Linked DNA regions of Drosophila melanogaster. The protein of the gene in region 1 interacts with the protein of each later gene in a pairwise test. Each region holds a gene or a part of one and is shown in the gene's direction. Other genes may lie near its edges.

Region 1 (5,304 bases):
TGACTCTGACTGGTGCACTAAAAAAGCGACAGCGCGCTGAAGCAGAGCCGCCAGTGGAAAAATGAAAACAAAAGCGAGGCCGAAATCAAAATCAAAAGAACCAGGCAAAAAATGGCGAGCCAGCAGCGACGCTTTAAAGGTAAACACCCCACACTCCTACTGCTGCTCCTGCTCCTGCTCTTGCTCCAGCTCCAACTCCAATACCATGACCAAAAGCCGGACAAATGGACAGCGGGACAATGGACACTGGGCACTGGACACTGAGATTGGCAACGGCTTTTGGCTAATTCGCGATGCTCCACACACAACGAAAAAAAAAATGCTTAGCTGGTAGCCGAGCACTGGAATACCCTAATATTTTGACTATTTACAAAATTCTTCATATTTCAACACTAGCTTAAATATTAAAAGATTAAACAGATTATTTTCGAAACACTATGCAATATCATGCAACTTCACCTATTTCACTGCATTCATAAATAATCTTGTGAAAGGTTTTTGTATTTCTAAGTCATCAAGCTGCATCAGCAATTCACCATTGCCCGAATGCTTGCAGGATATTGAAGAGCTGAAATGTCATTCATAAATCATACGCAACGATGTTGCTTGCCGCATTGGACTACGTTGCCATTTGCTCTACGCTTCTTTTGCGTTTTTCAACCATTTTTTGTCTTGCCATTTTTCGCTGCGTTTTTTTTTTTGCACTTCGTTGCTGTGCGCTTTAAATCGATTCGCAAGCAAATTAAAACATTTCAAGATTTATACGCACAACTGTCAAAAAATGTTCAAGTTCGTTTATCAGCGTGTCCTTATCGCACACCCCATACCAAAACCAAAGCCCCCCCCCTGACGATGCTCCTTTTCCTTAAATTTGCATTTTGCATTCGAAAGGCAACTTCCGGCATTCGTTTGCGAAGCCTCACTTGAAACGCACAAATGGCCCCACAAAAAAAAAAACAGTGGAATCTCCGCAAAACGAACAGGTATGTGTGTGTTTTCTTAAGTTAACATTTTATTTATTTTTGGAAGATTATGACAGTATTGGCAAATAAAACTATATTGCAGTGCATACATATTTAACAATAAAGATTCGCAGAAAATGTGTATCAACTTCAAGGATGCACTGTAGTTGGCATGCATGCATATATACCAGATAGAAATTTCATAGTTTTTGGTTGGCTTTGCGCAGCGTTAAGCCGCGGGCATTTTTTGTATGTGTATGTGTGAGTGCGTGCGTATCTGTGCGAGTATCTGTGTGCCATTCGAAAGTTTCGAGCGAAGCATCCTCAGGCACACAATCCTTGCAATCGCGCACAAAAAATTGACTAACTTTTATCATTTTCATGGCAGAAAGTTAAAAATTGTTAAAAATGAAAATATTTTTGCACGAGAACATGGGGAGGGAAAGCTCAAAATGAAATCATAATTTCAATTTCTAACTTCGAAATGCAAGTGCAAAATGTAAAATTAAATACGCAAATAGAAACACAATACAATATCCGATGACAATAAAAAAATAAAGAAGCAAACTGTAATGAGGAGCACAGCATTAAAAAATGGTTTTACCAGTTTCAAAAAGATTTCCATTTTTTTTAAATTTACAAAATATCACAGTTAATTTTATTTACCTTTTCTGTTATCACTCAGTTAAATTTAAAGTTACAGAATTGCTTAGAGATATTTTGAGTACCGGTTGGTGTCTTAGCTAATGCACTATGGTTCATTTCTTGGCTAATGTACTAAAAGCGAACTTCTTGCGCGCTAACTTAACGAAGACGTCGTTCAGTTTTTGTTTCAGGTGCTGTGTCCCGACTAAGTTGTACATTTTCGAAAATGTTTTATTATTTAGTTGCGCTAAAAAACAAGCTACAATTTGTGAAAAGCTCATAAAAGTTGAACAAAAACCGGTTTCAGAAGATCCCCCTTTATGCCACAATCAACACATTTATTTTCTCCTCTTTCTCCCGCGTGTTTTTGTTTTTGTTATTAATTTTTAGTTTATGCGCGTGTTTCAAAGAAGTTGGTTGTTTTAGCCACTTAACAATCAGTATAAACAGTCCCTTTTCAGTGTTTTTTTTCCTGTTAAAATCAAACAAAAGTGCCTATTTTAATTACTTTTCGAACGAGACACTAAAATATAAGCACTGTTTTATGAGGTAAGTTAACGGCAAATTAAACACAGCTCGCATATTTATTTTGGCCAGGCCAATTTGTGGCCTATGAAAAGATGAGCGCGATCTGAATGAATTTTATACCAGCACGTGAGAGAGCTTTCTTTCAGAGAGTTAGTGTGGGTCACCCTTGAGATGAAAGTGCAGCTGGGGGGCCAGTGGGCCGGATGGAAGGTCACCAAGTGTGAGGGAAATTGTGTAGAATAACAGGTGAAAATATGTGAAACGATGCTAAACATGGTGAAAACCAAAGACAATTGGGTTTATTTTGAAATGCAGCATGAGTTCGTAGAACTGGACCAAAAAAAAACATCTTAAGATTGATAGTAAACCAAAAACCTTTATGACAGCTCGTGAATAGAGAGCCCTGGCAAATCTATGCAATCTAATGAGATTCTGCCATCTAATTAGCTATGCTCTGTGAGAATCGCATAGAAATGCGGATTAAGTTGATTTTGGCCTGAATTTGGTACCAAAAGCGGAAGACGTTGGAAAACGGCTCTTTGTCATCAGGCTGCACATTAGGTTTGGTCTATTAAACGTGTGTGTTTGCTCACCGCTCACAAGAACCTGCGATATGTGCTGGGGGTAATTAAAGAGACAACATCTGCAGAATGCTGGCCGAAGATCTTTTATTTATGACTTGACCATTCACCCAGGCTCAGCATCATCAGGCAGTTCTTAGCATTCAGCTACGGGGCTTTAGTCCCAGCCTGGCCAAAAGTGTTTTGCAGTGGCTGTGTGTTATGCTCCGGCTGCTGCCTTTCCTGATGGCCAACAAATTCATAAACAACGCTGAAATCAAGTTTCGAGAGGCTCGAAGGGGACCGCAGTCCCAGTTGATGTAGGCACAATCAAGATGTTGGCTAGGAAAATTCTTGGACGCGCTGGGGCCTCCTCGACTTACCACCATCCGCACAAAAACTTCTCGTCTCACCTATTTCGCCAGAGTTAGCAGCTCTTGGGTAGCGATAAACCAATTACCCTTTGTTTAGACTTTAAAAGTACTTAATTTCTATAATACAATTATATGTGATTTAATCAATCGGCTTGGTAAACTGGATAGCGAAGAAGTATCTTTTAAATTGTAACTTTCGAAGGGATTTCAAGCGAACCGTATCATGATTTATTTTAGGGTACATCCATATTCGTTGCTGCCCTAGAAGATGCCATTTCTTATTCAGTTTTCGTTTTCGTTATTTATTTTTATCTGCATTTTTCTTTTGGCCGAGACGAAACGAGTTTTCCAACATTTTAAGCTTTTCTTTGGCCCCTCTCCCCCGATTTTCCCTCATATCATCTGGCTGCTGTCTTTGCGCTTCGCTGAAGTGAAGGAATTTAATGCCACACTGAAAATTGCAGCCTCTGATATTCCATATGCATTTCCATTATTATTTTCATCATTGCAGTCATCTTGAGCAATTGTAGACGAGGTAAAATGTCAAGTAAATCATTCGGTCAACTGAGTTTTACCTGATCATTTAAGTCGTGCAACAAATTCAATAAGCGAAATCATGCAGTTGCAAATGCTCACTGCAGATAATGGTGTTCAAAGTGAGTACAAGTCAAATTGCAGACCACGAATTACTTATATCGTATTATCCAATCAAACCACTTTGACTTTGATAAACGCGTTATGGGCCCTTGACTATAAAAGTGAGATTTATGATTCAAAGTCTATAATTGACTCCCCAGGCTCGATATGTGGATCATTCTATCGAATGTTCTGATCAGAATACAGAGAGAAACGATTTTTGCCAAAAAATTCAATATTTAGGATGGCTTTTTTGGCTATAACTTGACTAAAAATGGTCACAGAGCAAAAAGAAGTACAATTTTATACTCTCTACAACCAATACTAACAACCCCTTTCACTTTTGAACTGATTTTGTAAAATTAATTTTTGGCCAAATTTTCGCATTTTTTGTAAGGGGTAACATCATCAAAATTTGCAAAAAATTGAAAAATCCTATAATTCCCAAACTTGAATGCAAATCGATTGGAATTTAAAAAACAAACTCAATGAGGTATGACATTCCATATTTGGGTAATTATTTCCAATGTTATGATCAAAATACCAAATATTTTTTTCACACAAAATCTGGAAACTATTCTTGGCAAAAAACTGAATTTTCATTTTGGCTTTTTTGGCTATAACTGGACTAAAAATGGTCACAGAGCAAAAAGAAGTACCATTTTATACTCCCTACAACCAATACTAACAACCCCTATCACTTTTAAACTGATTTTGTAAAATTAATTTTTGGCCAAATTTTCGCATTTTTTGTAAGGGGTAACATCATCAAAATTTGCAAAAAATTGAAAAATCCTAGAATTCCCAAACTTGAATGCAAATCGATTGGAATTTAAAAAACAAACTCAACGAGGTATGACATTCCATATTTGGGTAATTTATTCCAATGTTATGATCGAAAAACCGATTATTTTTTTCACAAAAAATCTGGAAACTATTTTTGGCAAAAAACTGAATTTTCATGTTGGCTTTTTTGGGTATAACTTGACTAAAAATGGTCACAGAGCAAAAAGAAGTACCATTGTATACTCCTTACAACCAATACTAACAACCCCTCTCACTTTTAAACTGATTTTCTAAAATTAATTTTTGGCCAAATTTTCGCATGTTTTCAAAATTTTCAAAACTTACAAACAATGGCAAAAAAAAGTTTTCTTCTTTTTGAATACAGTTTGATTGGAAATTGAATTACGAGCACAACGATATATCACATTCCATAGTTGGAGTATTTTATCAAATGTTATGGCAAAAGAAATATGTATTTTGCAAAGTTAATTCATTTGAATGGAATGTTGGAAAAGGCCTCTTGATCGATGGTTTGTGGCTACCTGGACGCCTAATTCACACGCACCTTAATTAAATCGACTATCGGTTACCTCGCCCTTTTGCCATTTTTCATCTGAAATCTCTTCTTATTTTCGTATTTTCTTTTTTTTTCGACTGCCTCTCTTGTGCGTGAGCGTACGCTTTTAAGTTATGTTTCGTGTTGTTTCCCTGCTCGTCGAGATTCTTTTCACTTTCTTCTCGGGAGTGTGAAGTTACAACAATGGCACCTGCAGCAGCCACATCCAACACACACAGGTGCGACTGACAGCTGCC
Region 2 (3,318 bases), 9.4 Mb from region 1:
TTCATAGAAGCGAAGCCAACAAGTGCAGGTCCCCGAGAGGGTAATAAAAATATGTCTCCCTATCGCTTCGCTTGTCCCGGGCTAATCGATACTCGATACGATCCATAATTTATGTGCTACGCGTCTATTTCTGGACTTCCGACACTCTCCTATCGCTTGAGGTCTTCGAAAGCTGAAAGTTTTGGCTGAAAAAGATCTGGCTCTGGAATCCCAGCCAGCCGTAATCCCTGTGACCCACTGATGCCAACGCATCGTTGGGCGCGAAATGTGGAAGAGTTGTCAATGCCACGCGGTGTGGCCCCCCGAAGAGCGCGCCAATTTTCACCGCCCGACGTCCCACCAACACGCATAATTTCCCACGCTCCCGGCGGGAAGTGTTGGAATGGGCGGGGAATGGGGGTTGCGTAGCAGGGGGATTCACGAGGGGGAAGTCCTGACAAGTTGTCAGCGGGGCTGTTAATGAGCTGCGTGTGTTGAGTGAAAACGTGATGAATCTACACTGCCTCGGCCCACTTGTGCCTGCCCAGAAATGTGTAAGTAATCCCCGAGTTCTCAAAGATCAGCGAAGATCAAAACAAGATCTTAGATTCCAAGTCATGGAACGCTTAGCATAATAGCTCACCTACTTGTGGGAAAACTTTTAGAAGTGCATTTAATCGTTAGAAATGTTTTACAGTCGTATAAGGTAAATTATTCATCCCATTCAATAAAATACATATTTTGCATAAATTATTGCAATTTTATAGTTTTTTTTTTTGGAAGTTATGTCTCCTTAACTACCCACTGTACTAAAGATCTAAGGAAAATTGACTTTATAACAGAGATAGAGAGTATAAGCTATGTTATACCCCCTTATTTAAAGTCCAAGCTCAGATACCCTGCAGTAAGGGTATGCAAAGTATTGCAATTTGCGCACGAGCAGACAGCGACAACTATTTGATGATCTGGGGATCGGAGCAAAGTTCTCTGGCACACAACATGTGTCGACTCCCCTGCCACGCCCACCGGTACCGCCCCCCGGCCCAGTGTGGCGTTTAATAGCTTGCCTCAGCAGCTTGCCGCAATCGCGTGCACCAATGGTAAGTGGGGATCGAGCGTGGGAAACGCGCCCTTGCCGTAATCCCAAAAAAAGGCCATTTGAAAAGCACAAGTCCCTTCGCAGAAATATCAACAAAAACAAGGCAGCAAATCAGATACTTCAGCTGGCGCGGAAGCCATCGCAGAAAACCAAATAAACAGAAGCCTCCAGAAACAGATTCTCATCGGTTTTGACACCAAATGAAGTTGTATAATAGTCGAGTGCACGGGAAAAAATATTCCAGAACGTGAAGAAATATTTTAATTTTATATATCTTGAATAACATAAAGAATGGTGTTGACAAACACCACAGAACATAAGTTTGTAAATTCATACAAGAGAATTCAACTTGTATCTTAACTTGTAAAATTAGCTATACTTTCAAATAAATATTATATCTCCAATCATTTTTTAAAGTGCAAATCAATTTGTGATTGAGATATAGGCATACAGGGATTGTATGGTCCAATATATCTGGTGTCTTCTGGTTTTCTGTGAATTATTTGGAACTTCCCCAATTCGCGTTCCCTTCGAGCAACCAAGTATCCCAGTAACCAGCAACGTTTACTTTTCCGATTCCTAGGAACCCCAAGTAGGTGTCTTTAGGCCGGCGACAACTTTTGCCATCAGCAAATTTTCCTCAATGAAACACGCATCGTCTGCAGTCGACATCGCTGCTTCGGTTGCGTAAGCTGTCAGAAATCTGAGATGGTTAATGCAAGGTAAGTAAAAAAAATAAAATGCGACTGAATAATACCTCGCAGTATTTAGTACTAAAGACCAAAACAATTGTGAAATACGAAAGATGCAAATTGTGCAAAGTAACTGTAAAGAAAACCAAGGGATTCATATATGGGATGAGCCCATATTTCCGTAAAACTAATATGCCCTGAGCCGTGCTACTTAGGGTGTATCTAAGCTGCCGCTGCTGCTCCAATTCCTTGGGCCATTCAGTCGCTTAAGATCCGAAGGTGGAGCTGGGCCAGGCTTATGATGGCACGTCCCGAGGAGCAGAAGTCTCATGTTGGAGCAAAGTCACGATCTCATCAGTATCGAGAGGTTTTTAAGCCAATGATGGAGAGGAAGAGGCGGTCACGCATCAATCGCTGCCTGGACTTTATTAAGGACCTGCTTCAGGAGGTGTCGCATCTGGTGAGTGGTCTCACGTTGACCTCTGACCCATGGTCTTCTTACTCATCTCAGCTCGTAGCAAAATGATTTTGTATATTGTATCTCTTAAAATTGATACAATATAATATGTTTGAAATGTTTGCATACAGGACGGCGAGACCATGGCCAAAATGGATATGGGAGATGTCCTGGAATTGGCAGTTCACCACCTGAGCAAGAAAAACTGTCCGGTGGCCACGCCCACCACAGCGCCTACATCCGGAGTATATCAGAGCCCAATTGATTGCTATTGGAGTGGCTTTCGAGAATGCGTCCTGGAAGTGTCCCAATTTCTGCAACACAACGGCTATCAGCCGAGTTTCGAATTTGCGAAAGAATTGGATCATCTTGTGGCCTCCACATCCAAATCCAAGCCAAATCTCTGGAGGCCCTGGTAGTCGTCATGGGAAATATCCACTTAAGTTCCTCAACTCACAATTTTTAAATAGGATAATTATAAACTATTTAGACCCAAGTCCACTAAAGACAGTTTTACAATAGAGGCATGAAATAAAACTGCACATTCGTTTTTTGCTTTAAGTTTATCTTTTTCTTTTCGCAATAATTCCAAAAACTTGTTAGGTATGTGGTTTGTGTGTAGAATGTAGAATGTGTGTAGTGTAAGAATGAGTTTCCATTGGGGGTTTAAGTTTAGAATCGTTTTAATTGTTAATAAACATTGCTTAATGCATTCGAATGCTAAATTAAGTATTGCTTATGTTGAATATAATGCACACAAAGTAAGATTTTCATCTGCTGCTATCAGTATCGTTAACGTTATATCAATGTAGTAGCTTACTAGATACCCAAAAAAAAAATACATATCAATAGAGTAGTCGAGAAAAGGTGTTCTTTGAGATTATCCTTAAGCTTATTGGCTTTTTGTTTAGCAAATACGTGTGAGTGAGCATGGGATTTTCTTACAGTCTATGCTGAATTTTTTTGTCGGGACCCTCAAACTTTCCGCCTTTGTATGTACAATACGAGTATATGTATGTAGTTCACAATAATTTCGAGTTTGAGTGTAAGAAGCGCGAAAATTGATTGTTGCTGCAGTTTGTTTTAGTTTG

What was found.
Region 2: the proteins of CG12075 (region 1) and Hesr interact in a two-hybrid assay, tested with the Drosophila melanogaster proteins (one large-scale study listed by BioGRID).

Annotation. Positions count from the first base shown.
Region 1 is NC_004354.4:8,836,329-8,841,632, forward strand, and holds the start of CG12075 (uncharacterized protein), read left to right. Parts: upstream 1-1,994; 5' UTR 1,995-2,156; intron 2,157-5,304.
Region 2 is NC_004354.4:18,203,871-18,207,188, reverse strand, and holds Hesr (HES-related), read left to right. Parts: upstream 1-2,044; 5' UTR 2,045-2,068; coding exon 2,069-2,230; intron 2,231-2,358; coding exon 2,359-2,646; 3' UTR 2,647-2,786; downstream 2,787-3,318.